Ovis aries: one gene and its partners. The protein of the gene in region 1 interacts with the protein of each later gene in a pairwise test. Links are inferred from orthologs where the notes say so. Each region holds a gene or a part of one and is shown in the gene's direction. Other genes may lie near its edges. The genes, in order: ARL6IP1, SHMT2, SNX11, ACSF2, NDRG4, GAD2 and SNX15.

What was found.
Region 2: the proteins of ARL6IP1 (region 1) and SHMT2 interact in binary tests that used the Homo sapiens proteins (3 or more experiments, as listed by UniProt). The two-hybrid records come from large-scale screens. The link is inferred for Ovis aries from reciprocal best matches to the Homo sapiens genes ARL6IP1 and SHMT2.
Region 3: the proteins of ARL6IP1 (region 1) and SNX11 interact in binary tests that used the Homo sapiens proteins (3 or more experiments, as listed by UniProt). The two-hybrid records come from large-scale screens. The link is inferred for Ovis aries from reciprocal best matches to the Homo sapiens genes ARL6IP1 and SNX11.
Region 4: the proteins of ARL6IP1 (region 1) and ACSF2 interact in binary tests that used the Homo sapiens proteins (3 or more experiments, as listed by UniProt). The two-hybrid records come from large-scale screens. The link is inferred for Ovis aries from reciprocal best matches to the Homo sapiens genes ARL6IP1 and ACSF2.
Region 5: the proteins of ARL6IP1 (region 1) and NDRG4 interact in binary tests that used the Homo sapiens proteins (3 or more experiments, as listed by UniProt). The two-hybrid records come from large-scale screens. The link is inferred for Ovis aries from reciprocal best matches to the Homo sapiens genes ARL6IP1 and NDRG4.
Region 6: the proteins of ARL6IP1 (region 1) and GAD2 interact in binary tests that used the Homo sapiens proteins (3 or more experiments, as listed by UniProt). The two-hybrid records come from large-scale screens. The link is inferred for Ovis aries from reciprocal best matches to the Homo sapiens genes ARL6IP1 and GAD2.
Region 7: the proteins of ARL6IP1 (region 1) and SNX15 interact in binary tests that used the Homo sapiens proteins (3 or more experiments, as listed by UniProt). The two-hybrid records come from large-scale screens. The link is inferred for Ovis aries from reciprocal best matches to the Homo sapiens genes ARL6IP1 and SNX15.

What each region holds. Positions count from the first base shown.
Region 1 is NC_056077.1:16,929,073-16,933,223, reverse strand, and holds the start of ARL6IP1 (ADP-ribosylation factor-like protein 6-interacting protein 1), read left to right. Parts: upstream 1-1,351; coding exon 1,352-1,387; intron 1,388-3,038; coding exon 3,039-3,172; intron 3,173-3,626; coding exon 3,627-3,746; intron 3,747-4,151. UniProt on the Homo sapiens protein: Positively regulates SLC1A1/EAAC1-mediated glutamate transport by increasing its affinity for glutamate in a PKC activity-dependent manner.
Region 2 is NC_056056.1:162,387,019-162,389,982, reverse strand, and holds the end of SHMT2 (serine hydroxymethyltransferase, mitochondrial), read left to right. Parts: intron 1-12; coding exon 13-135; intron 136-271; coding exon 272-411; intron 412-740; coding exon 741-906; intron 907-1,104; coding exon 1,105-1,204; intron 1,205-1,295; coding exon 1,296-1,451; intron 1,452-1,531; coding exon 1,532-1,639; intron 1,640-1,757; coding exon 1,758-1,885; 3' UTR 1,886-2,464; downstream 2,465-2,964. UniProt on the Homo sapiens protein: Catalyzes the cleavage of serine to glycine accompanied with the production of 5,10-methylenetetrahydrofolate, an essential intermediate for purine biosynthesis.
Region 3 is NC_056064.1:38,124,438-38,128,397, reverse strand, and holds the start of SNX11 (sorting nexin-11), read left to right. Parts: upstream 1-1,160; 5' UTR 1,161-3,960. UniProt on the Homo sapiens protein: Phosphoinositide-binding protein involved in protein sorting and membrane trafficking in endosomes. Regulates the levels of TRPV3 by promoting its trafficking from the cell membrane to lysosome for degradation.
Region 4 is NC_056064.1:35,985,318-35,988,817, reverse strand, and holds part of ACSF2 (medium-chain acyl-CoA ligase ACSF2, mitochondrial), read left to right. Parts: intron 1-2,005; coding exon 2,006-2,201; intron 2,202-2,567; coding exon 2,568-2,696; intron 2,697-2,940; coding exon 2,941-2,994; intron 2,995-3,295; coding exon 3,296-3,414; intron 3,415-3,500. UniProt on the Homo sapiens protein: Acyl-CoA synthases catalyze the initial reaction in fatty acid metabolism, by forming a thioester with CoA. Has some preference toward medium-chain substrates. Plays a role in adipocyte differentiation.
Region 5 is NC_056067.1:25,875,446-25,878,945, forward strand, and holds part of NDRG4 (protein NDRG4), read left to right. Parts: intron 1-1,332; coding exon 1,333-1,438; intron 1,439-1,709; coding exon 1,710-1,830; intron 1,831-1,918; coding exon 1,919-1,981; intron 1,982-2,135; coding exon 2,136-2,196; intron 2,197-3,415; coding exon 3,416-3,500. UniProt on the Homo sapiens protein: Contributes to the maintenance of intracerebral BDNF levels within the normal range, which is necessary for the preservation of spatial learning and the resistance to neuronal cell death caused by ischemic stress.
Region 6 is NC_056066.1:26,034,813-26,038,798, forward strand, and holds the start of GAD2 (glutamate decarboxylase 2), read left to right. Parts: upstream 1-1,186; 5' UTR 1,187-1,231; coding exon 1,232-1,301; intron 1,302-1,966; coding exon 1,967-2,026; intron 2,027-2,230; coding exon 2,231-2,380; intron 2,381-3,398; coding exon 3,399-3,632; intron 3,633-3,986. UniProt on the Homo sapiens protein: Catalyzes the production of GABA.
Region 7 is NC_056074.1:39,693,176-39,697,265, forward strand, and holds the start of SNX15 (sorting nexin-15), read left to right. Parts: upstream 1-1,290; 5' UTR 1,291-1,325; coding exon 1,326-1,376; intron 1,377-1,551; exon of another isoform or gene 1,552-1,653; coding exon of another isoform or gene 1,654-1,665; coding exon 1,666-1,752; intron 1,753-4,090. UniProt on the Homo sapiens protein: May be involved in several stages of intracellular trafficking. Overexpression of SNX15 disrupts the normal trafficking of proteins from the plasma membrane to recycling endosomes or the TGN.

The sequences.
Region 1 (4,151 bases):
AGTTCAATGGCAAATTTCATAACTTTTAATGATATTCACAATGCTTCTGTCCCCCTAGTTTTCTTAGGGGCAGCATGTGGTCTGTAGCTGTGTTGGCTCACATTTCTTTATGCCTTCCCTGAACTTTTTATGAACCTGGTAGTTATTTAAGGAACGTTTTTAAAATAAACGATGGCATAATATAGATGACTGCAAAAGGATAAAAGACTGGAAGTTGAAAGCTATGGCATGTTTTTCTGAAAGAGATATCTGAAAGGTCAACATTTGGCATTATTTTGTGTTGAGTAATGAAAACGTTAATGCATTTTGAAATCCTGGAGAGAAAATGTGTCTCACATTGATCATCTAGTTCTTAAATTGCAATGAATTCCACTCAAGATGGTTTACATCTTTCCTTATATGAAAGGATCTGTCAAAACCAGCCCCTTTTTGGAGGGGGAACATGCGGTTTCAAGTGAGGTGTTCTATTAAGAACTTTCCCAAAGAACCCACGAAAATGAACCAGTTTTATAAAGTGCATTTTTCACAAGCTCTCAAACTCTGCCCAGATGTCCACACCCCCTCTGCCGCCCCCCGCCCGTCCATCTAAGACCTTATTCCTAATGAGTAGGGGAGGAAAATTACAGAAAACCTAGAATTTATGCCCTTTTCCCTTGTCCACAAAGCTCATGAGATGGGCACGAGTCTCCAAGTCACAAATCTAGGCTAAACTGCTCAGCAGCCTGACGAGGGCTGCCAGAGCAGGGATTAGAAGAAATGTGGGTCCAACTCGGGGAACAGCCAGGCCCAGGGCCACCCGCTGGATCTGGGAGAAGATCCCAGCCCGCCCCCTTAAGGAGGTTACTGTCACATGCCCATCTCTGCCCTCCGCCTGATACTGCGTGGCATATTTCCTTAAGGACTCAATTCCAGAGAGCATGCTTAGCTGCTTTGAAGTCCACTGGAAGATCGTCCGAGAGCCACCTGGCGGCCCGCCTTAGGAATACTGAAGCCAGGCCAGGCCCCCGGGAGCGGCCGTTGAACCGCTTAGGAGAGGCCTGGGCGGGGCGTTGTCACCTACTGGGCGCTGATTGGCCATCCCATGGCCCCGCCCCCGGGGCACTGGCGAGGTTTCTCTCCTTTGACCTCGGTTTCAAGTCATGCGCTGGGCAGCGGTTGGTCCGACCTGTTCAAGCTTGATCTCGATTTGTCCAATGAGGAACGAGCTTCGCAGGGTCTGTCGGGAAAGGCAGCCGGCCTATATAAGAGGGCTGCGGGGCGTATCCTCGCGCTAGGGGTGCGGCGAGGGAGTCTGTGGAGGATTTGTTGTGGTTTCGTCCTGTGCTCGCTGAGACGGCACACCTCGAGAACTATGGCGGAAGGAGATAATCGCAGCACCAATCTGCTGGTGAGTCCCAGCGACTAGTCGCCAGAGGACCGAGTGGAGCCTCCGGACTTTGGTGTGCTCCGTGGGACTGAGCTGCGGCCTTGTTCTTATCACCCGCGGCGGGCCCGGCCCTCCGCTCCCTTCCCTGGTGTAGGCGATGACGCTTGCCCTTTTGGCTTCTTGGTTAACCTCTGCTTGACAGTGACTAGTCGTGGCGTCTCCTAACACCCCCTTGGGGAAGGTGCGCGATGGAGCGAGGAGGGCGCGTGATCATTCACTGCGAATAGAGGAGGAAGCTGGAGAAGGGGGCTGTGACCAGTCTGGGTTGCAGTCAGTGGCAGAGAGCCGCGAGGGGCCTGTCGAGCGCTTTTGGGGCCCAGACTCCAGCCGTATCTGTGTCTCCCCTTCCTTGATCTTAACCAGAATGTCCCTTCGCCCTTTACCCTAATGCTTGGGCAGGAGTGGAGGGTCAAAGGGCTCTTCCCGAGCGTTTCTGTTAGAGCCTGGCACGGCTTAAAACGGCAGGGAGGCTTCGAGCTCACGGCTGGAAAATGGAGGTGGGATCCAGCTGGAAGGACAATGGGAGGTTCCTGGCGTTTGTCTGGAACTTCTAAGACTGGGAGGGGGTGTCACAGGACGATTTTAGAGTAAGCAGGGGTCGAAGGGAACTGCAGTGAGCTTGTATCAAAGGCAGACAATTATAACCTCAGCCCGAATGGGGTGCCATTGCTGTCTCCGAAACTTAGCTTACATGCAACGAAAAAAACCAACCAAACAACAACAAAAAACAAAATCAACTTAAAGGTTTTTTGCCACATTAGCTCATCTGAGAAGTCTGCTTAGCTCATCTGAGAAGTCTGCTTGCAGCTGATTGTCAGATTTGCAGAGAAATTTGACATCTAACCAAAGCATCCTGATAAGTGTAAGGAGCATTTTATTGAGATATATTGGGCTTAATAAGTCTTATAATTCGAAGAAAGCACAGTAGTTTTCCTTACTTGTGCAAGTGATGCCAATATACAGATGATTCTAGTACACCAAGAGCTATTTTGGAAATGAATGCTGTTCAGGGAGAGGCTTTCCTCATGTATTCAGGAGTAGGGGGTTAAATCAATGAAATGACCAAAGAACAGATCGATTGTAACAACCTGAAATGAGCAAACTTCAAGTGATCTTATTTTATACTTGGAGCAGTGCCACTTAGCAGTGCATAGTGAAGTGAAGTCGCTCAGTCGTGTCCGACTGTTTGCGATCCCATGGACGGAGTAGCCTGCACCAAGCTACTGCATCCATGGGATTTTCTAGGCAAGAGTGCTGGAATGGGTTGCCATTTCCTTCTTCAGAGAATCTTCCCGACCCAGGGATCGAACCCAGGTCTCCCGCATTGTAGACAGATGATTAACCGTCTGAGCCACCAGGGAAGCCTACAGTTAGCAGTGCATGGTTTTGGGAAAATAACCATTCTGAACTCACTTTAATTGTAAATGGGTCTGATTATCCCTATCTTAAGGGGTCTTATAAGGATTATGTTACATAACCCCAGTGCTTGGGCTTGGAAAGTGACCGTTACATGATAATTTTCCCCCCATTGGTTTCTGACTTTGGTATCTCTAGGAGTCACAGAAATGTTGAGATTAGTAAAATGATTGCTTTAAACGTTGCTCATATGTAGGCTGCAGAGACTGCAAGTCTGGAAGAGCAGCTGCAAGGATGGGGAGAAGTGATGCTGATGGCAGATAAAATCCTCCGATGGGAAAGAGCCTGGTTTCCACCTGCCATTATGGGTGTGGTTTCTTTGGTGTTTCTGTAAGTGAGCTATTAAATTACAATAGATTTATGCTTGTTACTAATAATGGTTCAGGTTTCATTTATGGAAGTGCCTGAAGTCTTGTAATTTTAAAATCTGTAAAAAAATGCCTTGCCTTAGAGCCGCCTGCCTGGTTTTCAGAATCCATAGTACTATGTAAAGTCAGTAACCGGTGCAGTGAAATAAATCTGTGGTTCAAACTTAGGACTGTTTACACTCCTAGAAGGTGTTGAGGACCCCAAAGGGCTTTTGCCTCTTGATGTTTACGTTAACCGTTATGGCTGGGATGTCATCATGTCACAAAACTTCTGGAAAACCACTTGTGAGAAAATGAGAATAGGAAGGGCAGATAACATCTTTTGAGAACCAGAGGACTAACTGAATAAACGTCTTCAGCTAGCACTGATAAAGACCATATTTTTCTAACCTTTGTTACTTTTTTTTTTTAAACAGGACTATCTACTATCTAGATCCATCTGTTCTATCTGGTGTTTCCTGTTTTGTTATGTTTTTGTGCTTGGCTGACTACCTTGTTCCCATTCTAGCACCTAGAATTTTTGGCTCCAATAAATGGTAGGTGGCATAATGATGTGGCATTCAAATTTCTGAGAAGTTGCGAACCTGATAACTGTGACTAGGGTGCTATAATCACACACAGAGAGCTGCCTTAATTAACAGCTAGGGATTAGACTTACTGTTTGATGTAAAGAACTTTTTAGCTGATTCACATATAAATCGTGAATTTCCAGTACTTATATCTCCATAGTTCTTTTATACTCTAGCATTTATTTTGACTTTTTTCTTTCTAGACCTTTTTATTGAAGTGAGGCTTTTTTTGGTAATGATTTTTCAGTGATTGCAGAACTCATAATGAGCTTTCCATAGTATGTCTGCTTTACATTTTTTACCATTGATATTTAAGGTAATACTAATTTCATAAGTAACTTAGGAATAATTCAAAACAGTAAACATAGTTTT
Region 2 (2,964 bases), on another chromosome or scaffold:
CTGTCTGTCTAGCCCCAAACCGGCCTCATTGACTATGACCAGCTGGCACTCACTGCTCGGCTCTTCAGACCACGACTCATCATAGCTGGTACCAGTGCCTATGCTCGCCTCATTGACTACGCCTGCATGAGAAAAGTTAGTGGTGGGCTGGAATCTCTGCCCTCCCCAAGGGGTGGTGAGGAGACTTGGGACGAGGGACAAGCCTTGGGCAGGCCTGTCTGGGCCCTCCCCAGGCTGAGGCCTATCTCTGTCCTCCTCTGTACCCGCCTAGGTGTGTGACGAGGTCAAGGCACACCTCTTGGCAGACATAGCCCACATCAGTGGCCTGGTGGCTGCCAAGGTGATCCCCTCACCCTTCAAGCACGCAGATATCGTCACCACGACCACTCACAAGACCCTTCGAGGGGCCAGGTCAGGCTTCCCTGAGGTCTTTCCTTGCCTCTCCCTGTCTTCATGCCCCACCCCGGGGCATGGTTGAGGTTGGATGTGAGTTTGTTCCCACCGGAAGCCCTGTCTAGGATACTTCTTCTTTTCTTGCCCTTGGTGGCAGTTCCCCGGCAGGGGGTTTGGGGGTGGAGGTGAGGTCTGCTCCCCTCAAGCCCTGGAGTCCGGCATACTGAACACCACTGGGCTGGACTCTGAGAGCCAGTGGCGGCCAGGCCAGCCAGTTTCCTCTGCTCTCCCCACCCCCATGCTCTTTCTTGTCAGATTAGATTCTGACCGCGTTACCTCCCACACAGGTCAGGACTCATCTTCTACCGGAAGGGGGTACAGGCTGTGGACCCCAAAACTGGCCGAGAGATCCCTTACACATTTGAGGACCGAATCAACTTTGCTGTGTTTCCATCCCTGCAGGGGGGCCCCCACAACCATGCCATTGCTGCAGTGGCTGTGGCCCTAAAGCAGGTTGGGGAGCCTACTCTTGTGGAGTGGGTGGGGGCAGGGCCCGGAGGCTCAGACCCTGCACCTTGCTAGCTGAAATTGGAGCAGATGGAAGGGAGGTGTCAGGCTGGCAGGGCGTGGGGATGGGGTCCCAAGTATGCTGGGGGTGGTGGGGCAGGAGGGGCCGGGCTTAAGGCGACAGTGCTGCCGCCTCTTCTCCAGGCCTGCACCCCCATGTTCCGGGAGTACTCCCTGCAGATTCTGAAGAACGCTCAGGCCATGGCTGATGCCCTGCTGGAGCGAGGCTACTCCCTAGTGTCTGGTGAGCTAGGGGGTGGGGAGGGGGAGGTGCACACCCCGGTAGCCTCGGAGGCCCAGGACTCACCACTCCCTGCTGACTCTCCCCGCCTCAGGTGGCACTGACAACCACCTAGTGCTGGTGGACCTGCGGCCAAAGGGCCTGGACGGAGCTCGAGCAGAACGGGTGTTGGAACTTGTATCCATCACGGCCAACAAGAACACCTGTCCTGGAGATCGAAGCGCCATCACACCTGGGGGCCTGCGGCTGGGTAAACCTGCGTTCTGGTAGGGGGGCGATGACTGCCAGATGGACTGGGGCTGTGCTAATCCTCTTCTGCCTCTCTTGCAGGGGCCCCAGCCCTGACTTCTCGAGGGTTCCGTGAAGATGACTTCCGGAAAGTTGTAGGCTTTATAGATGAAGGTGTCAACATTGGCTTGGAAGTGAAGAGCAAGACCAGTGAGTGGATAAGACCTCCCCTGCCCCCCAGCCAGTTCACACTATCTCCCCCTCCTCCAGCTGATCTCACTGCCTTCCCCTAAGCTCTGACCACATTTTTTTCCTCACCTGTGTCTAGCCAAACTCCAGGATTTCAAATCTTTCCTGCTCAAAGACCCAGAAACAAGTCATCAGCTGGCCGACCTTAGGCAACGGGTGGAGCAGTTCGCCAGGGCCTTCCCCATGCCTGGCTTTGATGATCACTGAAGGCACCTAAGAAACGAAGCCTGCGTGCGGACTAACATGTCTCCCTCTTCACCTTCCTGGACAACCTGGGGAGGGGGTGGTAACTGCTCCTCTTCCAGCTTTCTGCTGGCGGAGGGAAGGTACCCCTGACTTAGGGCAAGAACCATGTGTAGTTCCACTTCTCAGAACGTGGAGCTGAGGTTTCTTCTTGTAATACGACTGAGAAGGAGGAGGCTTGGAGCTTTCTGCCCTAACCTCTCCCATTACGTCAGTATTATAGACCCCTGCCCTTTCTTAGGGAGGGGGGAGTTCCTCTCCTGAGCGAGAGGAAGGGGTGGGTAGGCACCCTCCTTTCTGTTTCTATCTAATAAAATACTAACCTGCCCTGAGCTTCTGTTACTGGCGGGGAGGGGGGGGCCCTGGGGGTCCCCTGAGCCAGGTGGTATTCCTCTCCTTCAATGTGCTCCTCATTTCCCTCTCACCACCACCACAAGGACCCCCAAGGCTGCCTCCTCCTCTCCCTCTGATCAGAAGCGACACCAGACGTGATTAGCAGGCGCAACAAATTCAATTTGTTAAATGAAATTGTATTTTGCCCAAGGCTGCTTCTGTTTGATCCCTGGGGACTGAGGGAAGTAGGGGAGAGGTTGGGGAGGCCCAGGTGTGAGGCGAGGGTGGGGGAGGTTGTCCAGTGGTACCAAAAGCGGGAGGGAAGCAGGGGAAGCAGCGCAGACACCGGAGAAGCAAGCCGCACCTTCCTGAGTGTAGGTGCCTCCAGCTGGCTGTACTGTCAGCGACGAGCCTGGTCGAGCCCAGCGAGCCAGAGTAGCACCGCCCCCAGGCTGGCGCCAGGGATCCTGTAGCCTGGGCTAACGTGGGGCCTGCCACGTCATTTGGCACTCAGGCCCCTGCTTGGTCTTGTCTCTCACGTAGGCCACGCTCAACATGTAGCATGGACCCGCCCTCCAAAGCCAGAGTAATGGGGCAGAGGGTCTGGCATGAGCCTTTTGGGTTAGGCTACTCCCTGCCCTTTAACTGCTCCTCCCCCTCGTGGGACTGAAGCTGAGGGTCAGAGGCGCTTCCGCTGCTGGGATCAAGGG
Region 3 (3,960 bases), on another chromosome or scaffold:
AATTACGAATTAAAGCAAGATTTGCACTGGGACTTTTTAACTCCTTAAAGGAAACACGGAATGAAGGCAGGCAGCAGAAAACCTGGAAAAGATAATAAAATGCGTTCCATCTTTTCTTCACACATTCTTACAGCCGATCAACCAGGAAGCAAGCGGTGGCCAGTTTTTCCCTTTTCTTGAGCAAGCCTCACAGAAAAGCTCTCGGGACCTCCGCCCACTTACTCTAACAGTTTCTCCCCGCCACCCCCAGTCCCCGAGCAAAACCAGGCAAATACCACCCCTCCTTCTAGACCCTTCCCCAATTTACTCAACAGACCTCCCCAAAGCACTACACTTGGGGCTGCCCTGCCCCCCCAGCCGCTTACAATTTCCTCGAAGTTACCGCTCCGCAACTCCGCAAGCGGAGTTCCTATGGCAGCCCTGGCGGGACCCAATATTCTCAGGTTACATTTCTAACCTCGGGTCTTGCAGTCGTCAACCCTCCCTACGCTGGTTCAAGCGCCCAGGCTATCCCGTCCGTCCTCTTCCCAATTGACTATGTTTCCTCTCCAGCCCAATCCCCCAGCCGCCCACCCAACCCACGTAGCATTGTCTTGGTCTACTCAGGCCGAAGGGCGACCCGCAAACGCTCGGCCCACCCCAAATCGCTTCAATCTCTGGCTCCGGACTCGCCGCCCCGCCCTCTCCATCTTCTCGCGCTCTTCGCCCTACCCACTGCGCCCGGCAGAAGACTGCGCGGGGAGGGAGAGGGAGTCGGGCGCGCTCCCCGCTCCTAACCTCCGCCGCGAGCTCGCGGCCCCTGATCCAGGGCTCCCGCCGCCGCCGCCGCCGCCGCCGCGCGCCATCCCCCCGCTTGCCCGCCTCTAGCGGGCTCTTCACCTCAGAGCAGCGCCCACAAGCCCGAGAGGAATCGGTGCCGCGCTACTGGCGGGTCTTGTCCGGCCGGCCGGGGGAGTGGCGACCAGAAAAGCAACAAGCCGGGTGACCACTGTCGAGCCCCCTCACTGAAGCGGCGTACCGCAGGCCCCTGCCAACGGCCCTCCCCTCAGACGAACAAAAGAGCCTCGCACTCTGCGCTGCCCGCCGCCCGCACCGCGCAGGCGCGATGACCCGCCGCACAGCAATATGGGACTCGGAGTCCGTCCCGGACTACAAGACCCGAAGTGCTGCGCGCCTTCCACGGCGCCACGCACAGTTTGCGAGGGTTTCGAGAAGTTTTAATTTTTCTACCACTAGTGTCGGAGACGGAGAAGGCAATGGCACCCCACTCCAGTACTCGTGCCTGGAAAATCCCATGGACGGAGGAGCCTGGTAGGCTGCAGTCCACGGGGTTGCTGAGTCGGACGACTGAGCGACTTCACTTTCACTTTCATGCATTGGAGAAGGACATGGCAACCCACTCCACTGTTCTTGCCTGGAGAATCCCAGGGACAGAGGAGCCTGGTAGGAGGCCGTCTATGGGGTCGCACAGAGTCGGACACCACTGAAGCGACTTAGCAGCAGCAGCAGTGTCGGAGAAGGCGATGGCATCCCACTCCAGTACTCTTGCCTGGAAAATCCCATGGGCGGAGGAGCGTGGTAGGCTGCAGTCCGTGGGGTCGCGAAGAGTCGGACACGACTGAGCGACTTCGCTTTCACCTTTCACTTTCATGCATTGGAGAAGGAAATGGCAACCCACTCCAGTGTTCTTGCCTGGAGAATCCCAGGGACGGGGGAGCCTGGTTGGCTGCCGTCTGTGGGGTCGTACAGAGTCGGACACGACTGAAGCGACTTAGCAGCAGCAGCAGCAGCAGTGCCGAAGCGACTGTTAGTTGAGAACGCTGCAACCTAGCAAACTAAAGCGTGTGGTTTTACAAGCGAACCCCTTGATGTTTGGTGTAAAATATAAACCACTTTTGGACAGTAGTTCACATCCTTGAAAATTTTGAATCTTATTTCTCACCAGATCTCTATAAGGCTTTCTCACCAGATCTTTATAAGGCTTCTAGTTCTTATCGTTGAGATTAAAGTACTTCCCCTTCGAGGCCTTCCCTGACCTCCTAAGCTAGGCTAGGTCCCCCTGGTAGGTGTCATTCATGATACCCTGAACTTCCCCCTTACACTGGCTGCACGAATGGGCGGCTTTAGGGCCGAAACCCTCAATATCCATGAGTACCCTTCCCTCACCCAGCCTCCTCAAAGACACACCGAAACAGGCAAAAAACCTGTTTCTTATTCTTTGAGACAAGTGTTCTAGTTTTGATTTCAGCTAGACTGCTGTCCCCAAACTTGTTCATGTGGAAATTCGGTCTCATGATGATGTTCATCCTACTTTACTGTCATTAATTAGTATCTGTCTTTGTTGGACTTAAAACTCCACTCCCGTTAGTGCAGAAACCTCTGCCCAGTACAGCGCCTAGCATAAGACAGTCAAATCAACATTTGTTGAATAAATGATTAAATAGGTTAATATGTGGGCTTCCCTTGTGGCTCAGCTGATAAAGAATCTGCCTGCAATGCAGGATACCTAGGTTCGATCCCTGGGTTGGGAAGATCTCCTGGAGAAGGGAAAGGCTACCCACTTCAGTATTCTGGCCCGGAGAATTCCATGGACTGTATAATCCATGCAGTTGCAGAGTCTGACAGGACTGAGCCTCAGCGACTTTCACTTTCACTTCTCAGGTGGCTCAGTGGTAAAGAACCTCCCTGCCAATGCAGGAGAGGCGGATTGGGTCCCTGGGTCAGGAAGAATACCTGGAGGAGGAAATACCAACCCACTCCAGTATTCTTGCTGGAAATTCCCACGCATGGGGGAGCCTGGCGTGCTGCATACCATGGGGTCTCAAAGAGTCAGACACCACTGGGGCAACCTAGCACACGCTCATAGGAGCAACTGAGCACGCACACAAATTAATGTTCTTTTCCTCCTTGAAAGAAAATGGAGGTGATCAAGCTTTCATCTTTTTTCTTCACATCACGTTCATGGGGTTTTTCCATCTCCCCCTTACTCTACATTTCCTTGTTCAATTAGAATCTAAACAGAATGTCTACCAAAAGGTGACCTTTCCCCCCTTACTTGGAATTCAAATATCCTTCTAATCAGAAGAAAAGGAGAAAGGAAACGAGTCTACTGCACTCCGCCCCAGAAAGCAGGAGTCTGCATTTATATAACAGTTTTGCTGAGTCCGGAGAAGGCAATGGCACCCCACTCCAGTACTCTTGCCTGGAAAATCCCATGGGCGGAGGAGCGTGGTAGGCTGCAGTCCATGGGGTCGCGAGAGTCGGACACGACTGAGCGACTTCACTTTCACCTTTCACTTTCATGCATTGAAGAAGGAAATGGCAACCCACTCCAGTGTTCTTGCCTGGAGAATCCCAGAGACGGGGAGCCTGGTGGGCTGCGTCTATGGGGTCGCACAGAGTCGGACACGACTGAAGCGACTTAGCAGCAGCAACATCAGTTTGCTGAGTCAGGTACCGTACAGAGTACGGTAGATAACTGGGGGTCTACAGAAATATTCTAGAACCCGTAGTGGGTTCTAGAGAACTGCCATGTAAGAAGAACCCAGCCCAACAATATCATAAGAGTTTTGCTGAAAGACCCATGAGACGGGCGAAGGGGGCAGTTCTTCTCGAGACATTTTTTGGTTGGGTGTCCAAAAATTCATCTATTCACTCTCTCCTGAAGTACATTAGTTTGTTTTAGATAATTTCAGTGATAGAAACTTAGTTGTAATAGTATTACTTATTATTGAGTGCTTATTCCCCAGTTCTACAAATCTTAAGTCTTTGATTAATATTATTTAATCCTCTCTTTGAAAAGCATGCGTGGGGGGACTTTCCTGGTAGTCCAGTAGCTAAGTCTCCATGCTCCCAGTGCAGGGGTCCTGGATTCTATCCCTGGTCAGGGAACTAGATCCTACGTCCACATGTGGCAACTAAGACCCCCACATAGCCAAATAAATACATTTTTTCTTATTT
Region 4 (3,500 bases), on another chromosome or scaffold:
GCACCCTCCACATTATGCCTGTGAGGGAAGGATGTGGGTACACAGTCTCTTTTGAGGGGTGTTATGGTGACTGTGAGGAACTACCTCAGTAGTTGTTTAGGTCTGCCAGCCTGAGTGGTAGAATGTGGGGGCTTGCAGGGCTTCAGAGGCCTGTGACTTCTGGCTGTTTTCTGTCCTGGCACACCTGAGGAAACCAGCTGGCTTAGGTGGCTCACTACAGTCTTTGAGAAGATTGCCCAGGAAGGTGATCTAGATAGCATCCCTTTGAGGATAACCACTGATCCAAGTCCTCAGACTTTATAGGTGGGGAGGGTGAGGCCCAGAGAGGAGAAAACACAGATATCTTCACTTGGATTTTCTTGAGAACAAGTACGTGGGTGCAGGTGGTTTATTTGTGATCTTGGGAAGCAGGAGTGAGGGAGTATGGAGAGGAGACAAGAAGTCAATTTGGGGCGTTTGTGGGCAACCAGGATCTTACCCACGCCCTCCAGGCTTGATGCCTCCCAGAACTGCCCAGCCACAGAAGGAGAAACTTGAGGGAGTCACTGAGGACAGAACCTCAAGAAACTGCCCTATCAGTGAAACTAGAAATGTGCTGAGGACACATGGCAAGGGACACCGAAGGTGTTTGTGACAATCTCCCACCCAGCCAGCGGCACACCTGGGATGAGACCAAAGGCCCCAAGCTCTACAGTTTGTGACTCATCTTTATTGAAGTCAGGACAACCTACCCATCAGCCTGCACCGGGACACACCCTCATGTGACGTGAGGTCTCCTCTCATTTATAGGGAAACCCAATTTGCTCCCCTCTGCCCTGCATACTTTATTCTGTCCTGAAATTCTCCCCCATAAGCCAGAAGCAGCCAATCAGTGACGGTTAGGATTGGCCTTTTCAGCTCAGCAACTGTAGGACTGAATCATCAGGAAGGGTCCCCAGGGCCCACACCACCCTGATGGGGTGGTCTGGAAAGCCTGGATCTGGAGCGTGCCCTCTCAGATAAGAACAGGGTCTGAGAGCTGTCATATACTTCTCTGGGCCTGGATGGGAGCCCAGCACCTGTCACCCAGCTCTGGCAAATGGGCATAAGCAGGCCTAAGCTTATGATACTTAGACTTCTGGGGACCTTTTTTTTTAAATAATAAAAAAATAATTGTTTTAATAATTCATTACAGTTTTAGTTACAGAATAACTGAGTAGATCATACATAGAGTTCGTTAGGCCCACCCCTGACCCCATCCCTGGCACTGTTTCTCTAATATTAACATCTGCATTAGTATGGTACATTACAATTAGTGAACTAGTATGGGACATTATTGACTTCCCAGGTGGTGCTAGTGGTAAAGAACCTGCCCACCAGTGTAAGAGACACAGGTTCAATCCCTGAGTCAGGAAGATCCCTGGAGGGAGGGCGCAACAACTGACTCCAGTATTCTTGCCTGGAGAATCTCACGGACAGAGGAGCGTGGCAGGCTACAGTTCATAGGGTCGCAAAGAGTCAGGCTAGACTGAAGCGACTCAGCAAACATGCACGCATGGTACATTATTGTTGACTGTGGTCCAAGTTTACATCAGGGTTTAGTCCTTGTGTTAGATCATTCTGTGGGTTTTGACAGATACGCAGGGGTCTTTTTACCAGGAGGAGGTGGTGTCTAGAATGAGGCCATTCCCAGCCCTCCCAGGCTACCTCTCAGCATGACTGACCTTAGTATCCCTTTCTAGGGTTTGGATACCAAGGCTCCAGACGCTTGGCACTCAGTGGAAACTGAGGAGAAGGGCGGGGAGAAGAACCTTCTCTCCGATTAGGGACAGAAGTCAGCCTCCAGGTTTTGATTTCCCAAGGGCAAAGTAGCTCCTAAGTTAAATGGGTCCCTGGCAATGGGGCAGATCAGACAGTTTCTGGAGTTTCCTGCACACGTTGTATGCAACCTAGCACGATGTGCCAGCCTTTGGTTCCAGGGAGGCCTGGCTTGGTGTAGTTGAACCCATAGCCCCTTTTCCCACAGTTCTGGAGAGCTGGATCACACCGTCCCCTTGCCTGTCGGAGGCTTCAGCTATGTCCAGGGCCACGTCGGATTGCACCTTAGTAACAAGACTGTGGGGCGGTGCCTGGATGCCACAGCACAGAGGATCCCAGACCAGGAGGCCTTGGTTGTCCACCATGAAAACATCAGGTTGACCTTTGCCCAACTCAAGGAGGAGGTGGGTCCTGACTCTGAACCTTCAAAGTGGGCAGGTGCTGGCCCCCAGGTGCCAAGCTTGGTGGAGCTGCAAGGGTGGTGCCCGGCTATGGGGCAGCATGCTGGGGCTGCCTGAGAATATCAGGAGTGGGGGGCAGGGCTGAGGCAGAGGTGGTCCAGGTGCCTCCTGCGTCAGTTGTTCCTGGGACACTGTGTAACTATGCATGTCCCCAAATCCCCCTCCAGATCTCAGGCCTGCGTATCTGCCTGTCCCTCATTCCCAAGTGGTTCTGGTGTGAACCCCTGGGCCAAAGGCTAAAGTCAGAGTCATGGGCTCCTTTCTGCTCACCTACATCTCACTCTTCTGTTCCCCTTCTGTTTATTCCAGGTGGATAAAGCTGCTTCTGGGCTCTTGAGTATCGGCCTCCGCAAGGGTGACCGGCTGGGCATGTGGGGGCCCAACTCCTATGCATGGGTACTCATGCAGCTGGCCACAGCCCAGGCTGGCATCATTCTGGTGAGGAGGGGATTGCCTGGCATAGCTGGATATGCAGGGGGGAGGGCATCATTCAGGGGAGCTCCCTGGGCCCTTGGCCCCAGAATCACACCAGTGCCTGGCTGGTTTCAGACCAGCTAGTGCTTTCTCCTGAAGCCCACTAAGGAAGCCTGAAGGTACAGGGTGCTGCCTCTGAGGGTGGAGGGGCTGCAAGTGGGACAGCATCTGCCCAGGACACGTGACGTACCCTCACTGTCTCCACCAGGTATCTGTGAATCCAGCGTACCAGGCTATGGAGCTGGAGTATGCCCTCAAGAAGGTGGGCGCATTCCTTGGGTACTGTGGGGGAAGCCAGCTAGTACCTAGCACAGGGGGCTTCCAGCTGTCACAGAAGGCTGAGAGGGGTGGGGGCATGCACAGGTGACACCCTGAGTCTGTCCTTCTTCAGGCAGTGGGCGGGAGGAGGGGTGGTTGGTCAGACAGGCCAGTGTGTGTGTTGGGGGTGGCGGCTGTGTGTATTTCGGTGTCAGTGTATGGGAGGGAGAGCAACTGTCAGGACTCCACCACATTCCCAGGCTGGGGCTTCCTGCTGACCGTGGCGGGGGGCTGCCCTTCTACAGGTGGGCTGCAAAGCCCTTGTATTTCCCAAGCAATTCAAGACTCAGCATTACTACAACATCCTGAAGCAGATCTGTCCAGAGGTGGAGAAGGCCCAGCCAGGGGCCTTGAAGAGTCAGAGGTGGGGGTGTCCCGGGTCGGGAGGGGTACATCATCCCATATCTTGGGCCGCTCACTCCTTACTCATCTCTGGGGGCCATCCCTCCT
Region 5 (3,500 bases), on another chromosome or scaffold:
GTGAGCAGAAGTGCTACTGAAGGACAGGCCTGGGCCGTGCAGCGGCTGCGGTGGACCCAGAAGTGTGGCTCCCGGCGTGTGGCCTTGGGCCCCAGGGTTGGCACCACCAGTCCTTCCCTTTTGGAGATGGGGCCAGGCAGTGGTCCTCTCAGCCCTGACCCAAGAAGGCCGGTCACCTAAGGCTCCCCTTTCTTGTCGGAGGCAGAAACTTTGTTTCTCTCTGAATATGAGTGTACTCCACTAAAAGGTGGGGAAAAGCGCTGCTTCTGTCTCTCATAACACCTGGCACACAGTAGGTGCTCAGTCACATGGTGATTCTCCTTGACCTCAGCCCGACCTCCAACTCCCTGGGAGGGACCACCCACCTCCTGCAGTCCCCAAGACTCTCCCTGAGAGGGCAGGGCTGTTTATTCAGCATTGACAGACCCGCTGGGAGTCTGCCTGTGAGTGGCCAAGAGGGACCAATTCCCAGAAAGACCAGCCAGCAGGGCTCGGGGATGCGCCCACCAATGGCAGCCCCCTTTCTGGGGCCAGGTATCAGCTTATCTAGTTCTCCCTGAACCCCCATGAGATGGCTCAGAAAGAGGTGGTTGAAGCACAGAGAGGTGCGTGTCCCGCTCAGAGTCACACAGTAAGGGGCAGAGCGGGTCCTGAACCTGCAGCACTCAGCTCCTGCTTCCTGAAGGACTGATGACCTCGAGCAGCAAACCCAAGGGGGCTGACCCAGGAGGAGCCCAGAGCCGCCACTAGACACATGGTGTCTAGCCTGGCCCTGACCAAGGGAGGCCTTGGGGATCTCAGAGAGGCAGGAGCGAGAGCCTGGGGGTGGAAACAGGAACAGCTGTGGGGGTGGGCGGCTGGACTGGCTGGCATGGGGTCTTCACCGTGGATTCTAGGTGGGCTGAGGCCCTTTTGCAGGGTTCTGAGTCCAGGGGGAACATGATGAGGGTGGGACTCGATGGGGAAGGCAGAGCTGACCCAGAGGGGCTGCAGTGAGATGGGAAAAAATGGGCCTCACTGGACCCTGGAGGGCTGAGTGCTGCTGGGCTGGGGCGCCCCACTGGCTGGTTTGCGGAGGAGACTGGAATGTTCATGTGCAGCCCAGTTTATGTTGCCCCTGTGCTGAACACCCATGGGGAGAGATGTACTCTCTGGTCTGTCCCCTCCGGGGGCTGCTGGGGGTGATGAAAAGGGGATGCCTAGCCTATGAGGGGAGGGGTGAAGGTCCCACCATAGGCCCAGCAGCCCCCAGGCTGCTCCCCAGCCTCGTTTCCCAGAAGAGCCAGGAGTGAGGGGCTGCCCAGAGGGTCCAGCGCGGTCTCTCCCCTCCAGGAACATGACATCGAGACGCCTTACGGCCTTCTTCACGTGGTGATCCGGGGCTCCCCCAAGGGGAACCGCCCAGCTATCCTTACCTACCATGACGTGGGGCTCAACCGTAAGTGTGCCCTCCTCTGCCTAGGGTCTGCTGGAATAGTGAGGCCCCCTCCCTCCCCACAGGGCTGTGTGGATCCCCACTCACGCTTAGCTCTATGCCTCCAGCCATGTGGGTCTTGGTTTCCCCGCTGAACCATGAGGCTGATCATCACCTCTGCCTTGACCTGCCTCCCAGCATCCACGGGCCTCATGGGCCTCCCCATCCCCCCATCCCTTCCTCCCACTTCCCCGGTTCCTTGGCTCAGCCAGAGCTGAGAGCTGTGTCTTTGCAGACAAGCTGTGCTTCAACACCTTCTTCAATTTTGAGGACATGCAGGAGATCACCAAGCACTTCGTGGTGTGCCACGTGGATGCCCCCGGTCAGCAGGTGGGGGCGTCACAGTTTCCTCAGGGGTAGGTACCAGGAATGCCCCGCCCCCAGCTTTCTCTAGGCCCCCCTACCTCCAGCTGCCCCGGAACTGACTTCTTGCTCCACCTGCAGGTACCAGTTCCCCTCCATGGAGCAGCTGGCCGCCATGCTCCCCAGTGTGGTACAGCACTTTGGGTGAGTCCCTGCCCAGTCCCCCACCCCAGAGGTGCCCACCACCGCCACAGAGCCAGCAGCTTCGAGCTGAGGGCTCAGGGCTATGGCTAGGTCTGCACTGGATGGCCATCAAGGGGAAGGAAACCCCTGGAGTGACCAGCATGCTCTCTGTCAGGTTCAAGTACGTGATTGGCATTGGAGTGGGAGCCGGAGCATATGTGCTGGCCAAGTTTGCAGTAAGTCTACCCACCACCACCCCAGGCCCAGCTAATCCCAGGACTGGTCCCCCCAGGGGCAACCTGCAGGAACTTTCTGAGTTCTTTCTTCCTCTCCTCCTCCCTCTACTTCCTCTTCACTTAGAAAAGTCCTTTTTCCTTTCTTTCCTCCAAGGAAATTAACTTTTAAAAAAAGTTAATTTTTTCATACATTTCCTTAAAACACTATACTCCGTAAGTTGCTCAAACCATTATCCAAAACCAACAAGCTGTACAACTAATGAGCCACTAAGTAAGGATGATCTTAATTCCTCATTCACTAATTAGAGTAATACTTAAACATGAATGATTTTTTAACCAAAAATTACACTTACGTTAAGTTTTGAGGTTTAAAAAAGTCAGATTTCAGAAACATCATATCAGGCAGGAGGAGCCCACAAGCTTTCCATCTCTAAAAAGAAAACCTAATTTTTAGGACTCAAAGTATTTCTTTCTTCAAAACAAAGAACAAAACAAAAAACCTGACCAAGAATTTTCAGCTCCAGTTTTGACTGCAGTACTTAACCACCTTGTTGACTGTCAGTCATTCCCTGCTACCCCAGACAGCCTTGACATGACCGCAGTATGTATATATTACCATTTTCTCCTAACCACGGGCAGACAGTCGAAGGGAAAACTCCAGTCTCTTTTACAATGTCTAACACAGAACAGGCTTTGGAAAGCTCAGTTTCTTCACATCACTAGGGCTTTTTCTATGAAAGCAAAGAAACAGTATTTTATTGAGGATGTTTAGTTCTCAGTGTTGCAATAGAAACCTCTTCAAGTGAAAGTCACTCAGTCCTGTCCGACTCTGCGACCCCACGGGCTATACAGTCCATGGAATTCTCCAGGCCAGAATACTGGAGTGGGTAGCCTTTCCCTTCTCCAGGGGATCTTCTCCACCCAGGAATCGAATTGGGGTCTCCTGCATTGCGGACTGATTCTTTACCAACTGAGCTATAAGGGAACCTCTTCAAAGATATATTTAAAAGCTGAAAAACTGTTCTCAGCTGAAGGCACTTGGTCATCGATTGCACCTTGGAAGCCCTTACAGAACACGTCCTCCTCTTCAGACCCTTACCACCCTCCACGGCCCACGAGACAGGCAGGGTTGGAACTTTACAGTCCGTTTTCTAGTGGAAAGATAGGGGCTCCCTGCACCCCGTCCCGCCCCTCAAGTCCTGTCTCCCTGTCACGGCAGCTCATCTTCCCCGACCTGGTGGAGGGGCTGGTGCTGATGAACATCGACCCCAACGGCAAAGGCTGGATCGACTGGGCGGCCACCA
Region 6 (3,986 bases), on another chromosome or scaffold:
GTGCAGGCTTCTCACGCATACAACGATTCCCCTGACGTGTAAGCAGCGGTCCTTCCACGCCTTCGCCGATCAAGGTCACCGAATGACTCGACCGCATCCCCCATCAGCCATCAGCCATCAGCCGTCAATCCTGCTGGCTCTAGTTGTTCTTCCTTGCCGCCTTCCAAGAAGTTTCCATTCATATTATTTCTCTGCCCAGCCTGAGGTTCTTGGTGATAGATTTCAGCGTGAATTTTAATTGCCTCAATCAGCAGTCTTTCTCCCAAGCCGTCAGTCAGAACTTGAGCAGTGGGCTCGGCGACCAAGCGCTCTGAAGCGCAGGAATGGTTCCCAGCCCCCACCTCGGGGAGACTACGCGGCTCAGTGGGCAGGAGTTAGGCTCTACTAAGGAGCAGGACTGAGCCCATCAGTGCCTAGGTGCCCTTCCCGCACAGTCCCCTTCCCAGGCTCGCGAACGGCTCCAGATTCCCCCAGCCGCCGGGACTCCGGGGGGTCACAGCGACCTCAGCACTCTCTCGCAGGAAGGTGGCGAGGACTTAGCGCCTCCTTCTCCGCAGTCGGAACCAGACCTCAAACAATACACCAATCGTCGCAAATAAAAGGCTGTCTCCTCCGCCTTTCCCGCCTCGCCAAGGTCTCTGTGGTCTCCCCGCGCTGGTGCCGGCGCGCAGTCCGCCGCGTTAGCACCCTGGACAGCGCCCCCGGGGTCGCCAGCATCCTCGCGCCGCACGCTCCCCAGGGATCGCCTGCTCACCTCCCACCCGCTAACGCTGACTCCTGCACGGGCGCACTGTCTGCCTCGCCCTCGGACGATTCAGCTCTCTCCCTCCCGTTTTTCCCTCCTCCGCCCCCTCGTGCGTCCCGGCTGGGCTCCCTCTCCCTCAAAATCGCTCGAGTGCTCGGTCGCTTTCCCATCTCCCGGCGGTAAGGACCCTTCAATCCTCTCCTCTATTCACTCCCCGAAGCTTTCAGAGCTTTGCCACTTCGCTGAGCTCTAATCCCAACACACACGCGCGCACACGGACACGCACGTTTCCTGCCCCTGTGTGACACCCACCCTCTGTCGTGCGGCCGCTCCAGACCCCGCGCGGTGTTCCTCCTACCGCCACACACACTCACACACACAAACACACACAAACGCACGCACGCGCGCGCGCAGGGCGGAGCGGAGGGCAGGCAGCTCGCCGGCAGTTTGCACTCAGAGGCGTCTTGCTCCAGTATCGCAGCGCTGATGGCATCTCCGGGCTTTTGGTCCTTCGGATCTGAAGATGGCTCGGGGGATCCCGAGAACCCCGGCACAGGTAGGAGAAACGGGACCTGCAGGCGGAGAGCTTTGCGGGCGGACTGGGTTTGAGGGGCTGGGGAAGATTGAAGGTTTTCCCACCTGCAACAGGAAACTTCGGACGCTTAGCCCTGCCCTCGGGGTGGGTCCTTGATGACCCAACAGACTCTTATCCCCTGGGAAGATGCCCAGGGACCGTCTGGTTCTTTCCGCTGAAATCTGGGAGAGCCTCTAAACAAGGCCGTGTCTCCTCGACACCGAATTCCTGGGCCTGGGATTCTGTCACGGTCTTAGTGTCTGGAGAGAGAGAGGGTGGGGAAAAGGAAAATTGGAAAGGGGAGAGAATTGTTGATCTGAAAGGAGAGCGTGCGAGGAAATGGGCAGCCTCGGGTGTCGAGGAAAACTCGCCCAAGCGAGGCAAGAAGGAGACTTTGTCCTAACCGAGTGGTACCTGAAAGGCAAGTGCAAAGGGCCACAGTGTGGGCCGCTTCTGAGGAAACAGCCAAGGGTCGAGCCGGGCCGCCAGGCTCCCGCCGCCTCTGGCACCTGCTCGCTGTGCGGGCGCCAGGCAGGCAGCTTTTCCCGGAGCCCGGGTTTATTGACGTTCACAAAGAACGAAATTTCACACGTGTGTCTGCTGTTTTCTTTCTGCCTCGCTGTCCTCCCACCTGTCTTTCCTTGCAGCCAGGGCCTGGTGTCAGGTGGCCCAGAAGTTCACGGGCGGCATCGGAAACAAACTGTGCGGTGAGTGCCTGCGCGGGTGCCCGAGGGAGGGAGGCGGACATGGCCAGGCACCGCGAAGCCCGAGGAAGTCAAAGCCACCCTCTCACCTCCGCATCCCATGAGGGGTCGGATATTCTTGATTTGGGGACCGGGGATGGGGGTCGGGGGCTGGGAGCCGGGCCGGCGGGCCGCCGACCTAGGTCCGCGCTCCTTGTCCTTGCCCAGCCCTGCTCTATGGAGACGCCGAGAAGCCGGCGGAGAGCGGCGGGAGCCAGCCCCCGCGGGCCACCTCCCGCAAGGCCGCCTGCGCCTGCAACCAGAAACCCTGCAGCTGCCCCAAAGCGGAGGTCAACTATGCATTTCTACACGCAACAGGTAAGGGCGCCTCGCCGGGGTCCCGGGAGCTTCTGCCCCTCGCCCTGCCGCGGCCACCGTGGCCAGGAGGGACTCGGCGCCGGGAGCCTGAGCCGGGACGTCGAGGTGCAGGGCAAAAGCAGACCTTAGGAGACACTCCAGCAGACCTCGAGAAACGCTGGGCCTGCCCTCTCGGTCAGACCCAGACCCGGGCCTCAGCGTGGCGCTGGGCTCCGTGGTTCCAAGCGGGCTCCCGGACTGCGGGCGCTCTGCGCCCAGCGCCGGCCTCGGGTCTCCGGGTGGCCGAGGCGCCCCGGCGCACACTAGCTCCAGGTCCTATTCTCCGTGCGCCCGAGGCCTCGGGTGAGATGTGGTTTCTTGTTCAAAATAGCTTAGACTTTCTAGGTCTTCAGATCGCAAGAGTGATTTGTAGCTGTGGTTTCTGGAAAAAGATTGACAGGAAACCTGCGCGCAGTTTCACTCTCGTACTTGCACACCCAGTGTGCGAGCGCGCGCGCGCACACACACACACACCACACACAGAGAGACACGCTGACTTAGGAAACAGCGGGCCTTAGTTAATAAGCCAGAGATCCTGTGATGCCATAGGATAATAATAAGCCAAGTGATAACCAAAATCTTATGAGCCATTTTGCCCGATTTACCCAAAAGCATTCCTCAGACATTCCTGACTTGAAGTGATCGTTTAAGATGACTTACTGAGAAATACCGTTTAGCGAGAACCCGGACGAAACAGATGAATGGAAGTATATTTTCTTTAAAAAAAAAAAAAAGATAGGAAAAGGAAGCAAATTGGTTATGAACTGAAATGCAAGAAAATTTGGGATAAGGAAAGAAATCGTATTTTTTTCATTCCTTCATTTTTGAAAAATACCTCCCGTTTAAAGAAGATGCTCTGCTTTTCCAGAAGATTTTTTTTAACATAAAATCTCAGTTCAGAGAGAAAGTGTCAGATGAAGACCTTTCCTGGATATTTTCATTGTAAAATTAAAACGTGGCATTTTGATTTTGTTCTTAGACCTGCTGCCAGCGTGTGACGGAGAAAGGCCCACTTTGGCGTTTCTGCAAGAGGTTATGGACATTTTGCTTCAGTATGTGGTGAAGAGTTTTGATAGATCAACCAAAGTGATTGATTTTCATTACCCTAATGAGCTTCTTCAAGAATATAATTGGGAATTGGCAGACCAACCACAAAATTTGGAGGAAATTTTGATGCATTGCCAAACAACTCTAAAATATGCAATTAAAACAGGTATTGTCTGATCAGAAATAATAAAGCTCTTTTTTCTTTTATGATTTTTATTTTTTCTAGGAAAATGTTTTCTTTTATGGAGTTGATAATTTCAAATTTACAGCATTATTTTCATCATTTAAAAAGTCGTGATTAGAATGATTAATGTCAAAAGCACCCTTTACTGTTATTGTTCATTGTTTTGAAGTCGGAAATGTTACCTAGATATAAATCATCAGATTTTACATCACACTATTTGGCCACGGAAATTATCCACTGAGTAGAAGCAACCATTTGTCAGTAGAGGCCAGTAGAAGTGACTCTCCTATAGAGAAAGAAAAAAAGAGAATCTAGAAATGAAAGCGTAAAAGGCAT
Region 7 (4,090 bases), on another chromosome or scaffold:
GTGTGGATCACAATAAACTGTGGAAAATTCTGAGAGAGATGGGAATACAGACCACCTGACCTGCCTCTTGAGAAATCTGTATGCAGGTCAGGAAGCAACAGTTAGAACTGGACATGGAACAACAGACTGGTTCCAAATAGGAAAAGGAGTACGTCAAGGCTGTATATTGTCACCCTGCTTATTTAACTTATATGCAGAGTACATCATGAGAAACACTGGACTGGAAGAAACACAAGCTGGAATCAAGATTGCCGGGAGAAATATCAATAACCTCAGATATGCAGATGACACCACCTTTATGGCAGAAAGTGAAGAGGAACTAAAAAGCCTCTTGATGAACGTGAAAGAGGAGAGTGAAAAAGTTGGCTTAAAGCTCAACATTCAGAAAACGAAGATCATGGCATCTGGTCTCATCACTTCATGGGAAATAGATGGGGAAACAGTGGAAACAGTGTCAGACTTTATTTTGGGGGGCTCCAAAATCACTGCAGATGGTGACTGCAGCCATGAAATTAAAAGACGCTCACTCCTTGGAAGAAAAGTTATGACCAACCTAGATAGTATATTCAAAAGCAGAGACATTACTTTGCTGACTAAGGTCCATCTAGTCAAGGCTATGGTTTTTCCAGTAGTGTATGGACGTGAGAGTTGGACTGTGAAGAAGGCTGAGCGCCGAAGAATTGATGCTTTTGAAATGTGGTGTTGGAGAAAACTCGAGAGTCCCTTGGACTGCAAGGAGATCCAACCAGTCCATTCTGAAGAAGATCAGCGCTGGGATTTCTTTGGAAGGAATGATGCTAAAGCTGAAACTCCAGTACTTTGGCCACCTCATGCAGAGTTGACTCATTGGAAAAGACTCTGATGCTGGGAGGGATTGGGGGCAGGAGGAGAAGGGGACGACCGAGGATGAGATGGCTGGATGGCATCACTGACTCGATGGACGTGAGTCTGAGTGAACTCTGGGAGATGGTGATGGACAGGGAGGCCTGGCATGCTGCGATTCATGGGTTCGCAAAGAGTCGGACACTACTGAGCGACTGAACTGAACTGATGAGGGTTTACCATCGCATGGGGTGGGTTTATCTCTAAGCAAACCTGAGTGATCCAGCTTGCCCAATCCTTGCTGCTGCTGCTGCTGCTGCTAAGTCGCTTCAGTCGTGTCCGACTCTGTGCGACCCCATAGACAGCAGCCCACCAGAGGCAGCCCCCGTCCCTGGGATTCTCCAGGCAAGAACACTGGAGTGGGTCGCCATTTCCTTCTCCAATGCATGAAAGTGAAAAGTGAAAGTGAAGTCGCTCTGTCATGTCCGACTCTTCGCGACCCCATGGACTGCAGCCTACTAGGCTCCTCCATCCATGGCATTTTCCAGACAAGGGTACTGGAGTGGGTTGCCATTGCCTTCCTTACTCTTCCCCAATCCTTTCCCAAATCACTTGGTTCCGGCTTTACCAACCATCGAGAACTTTTTAGACGCTCCCTTGGCCAAGCGCCTGGCCGAGAATTGCGCTGTCACTTGCGACCAGCTCCCTGGGCCGTAGGATGAAAGGCGCAGGCCCGGGCGAGGCGGCGACTGGGGAAGACTGAACTGGAGGGGCGGGGGCGGGGTGGAGGAGGCGGAGGCCGGCGGTCAGCTCCGCTCCAATTTATTTGCCATGTCCCGGCAGGCGAAAGACGACTTCCTGCGACACTACACAGTCTCCGACCCCCGGACCCACCCCAAGGGCTACACTGAATACAAAGTGACGGCGCAGGTAAGGTGGGGCCCAGCGGGAATTTACCCTTTTAACAAGAGCGGGGCCGTGTTTTACTTCAAAGCAAGACGCTGCTGGAAGCGCCCATTTTAGACAACAGAATGGATTTCCCCTTTAAGGGGGGGGAGTGGTGGTTAATCGGCCCTAGTTTACTTCTTTAGCCATCAAGGGGCGGGGCCACAGGAGGGCGCTGCTCTTTTAAAAGGGCGTGCCGGCAGTTCCCAGACTGCGAGGTGTGTCCACGCCCAATGCGTGGCAGCTTGGCGTCAGGCTGTGAATTTCTTTAAGTTAAGCTGAAAACTGGCTCATCCCAAATACTGATTAGGTCTCCAGTCTCTTGGAGTAAGCTTTGTCTGTTGGTTTGTTTGATATTCATATGAAAACTCTTTAAGGAGTTGAATTACTTTAAATTTTTTTCAAAAAATTATCCCTGTGTATGATTAAAAATTCATACACTTCAAAAGAAATAAAGGAATAAGTCTCTTCACAGTCATAACAGGAAGTCAGTAGATAAAGACGAAAGTTGGTATACGAAGTAGTAATAACGTTATAAGTGTATAGAGACAGGATATCATGAAAGGGATTAAAAACAGAAACTATAATATTATCTGTAGAATGACATACAAGAACTAATTGGGGAAGATTTTTCACTAAATATTTTTGTATTTTTACAATTTTGAAGTAGGCAACTATTAAACTGGTGCATTAATAACTTAAAGCAGAAATGTAAAGATTTCCGAAATGATTTAAATGCAGAATCCTAGATGTTTAAAATGGTCTTTCCTCAAATCTTTTGTGTCATTCCTGTACCTAAAAAATGCAAATATTTAAAAAAAATTACAAAATGAAAATAAAAAGATAATCCAAGACAAATGTCATATGGTATCACTTATATCTGGAATCTAAAAAAATTATACAAATCAACTTATTTTAAAATGAACAGACTCACAGACAATAAACTAATGGTTACCATAAGGGAAAGTGGGGTGGGGAATAAATTAGGAGCTTGGAATTAGCAGATACAAACTACTATATATAAAATAGATTAGGGCTTCCCTGGTGGTCTAGTGGTTAAGAATCTGCCTGCCAAAGCAGGGTACGAGTTCGATCCCTGGTCCGGGAACATGCCACATGCCACAAAGCAGCTGCTAGTGCTCCACAACTACTGAGCCTGTGTGCCGTAGAGACCATGCTCTGCAATGAAAGAAGCCACCACAATAGGAAGCCTGCGCACCGCAAATAGAGAACTAGAAAGTCTGCACCCAGCAATGAAGACCCAGCGCAACCAAAAATAAATAAATAAATCTTAAAAAAAAAAAAAAAAAGGATGAGCAACAAGGCCCTACTGTATAGCACAGGGAACTATAGGCAATATCTTTCTCTTTTTTTTTGCCTCACCCCCAGGCATATGGGGTCTTAGATCCCTGACCAGGGATCAAACCCATGCCCCTTGCAATAGAAGCCTGGCATCTTAACCACTGGACTGCCAGGAAAGTCCCTATAGTTGATATCTTGTAATAAGAAGAAGTATTAGTCACTCAGTCGTGTCCGACCCTTTGTTACCCCATGGACTATAGCCTGCCAAGCTCCCCTGTCCATGGAATTCTCCAGGCAAGAATACTGAAATGGGTCGCCATTTCATTCTCCAGGGATCTTCCCCAGCCAGGGATCAAGCCCAGGTTTCCTGCATTGCAGGCAGATTCTTTACCGTCTGAGCCACCAGGATCCCATCTTGTAATAAACTAATAAACTATAATGGAAAAGAATCTGAAAAATATTATTTATGTATGTGTATATACCTGAATATTGTAAATCAGCTATCTCAGTTCAGTCAGACTCTTTGCGGCCCCATGGACTGCAGTATGCCAGGCTTCCCTGTCCGTTACCAGCTCCTGGAACCTACTCAAACTCATGTCCATTGAGTCGGTGATGCCATCCAACCATCTTATCCTCTGTTGTCCCCTTCTCCTCCCGCCTTCAGTCTTTCCCAGCATCAGGGTCTTTTCCAATGAATAGGTTCTTCACATCAAGTGGCCAAAGTATTGGAGTCTCAGCTTCAGCATCAGTCCTTCCAGTGAATATTCAGGACTCATTTCCTTTAGGATTGACTGGTTGATCGCCTTGCAGTCGAAGGGACTCTCAAGAATCTTTTCCAATACCACAGTTCAAAAATAAGTTCAAAATCAACTGTAATTCAATAATAAGTAAGAGTTGAAAAAAAGAGAGTACCTGGGCATTGCTGGGCCATTTGCTGGGCATATGTGTAACTTTTCCTAGTAATTTTCAGTTTTCCAAAGTAGTTGTACCATTTTATACTCTCATTCTCACCAACACTCGA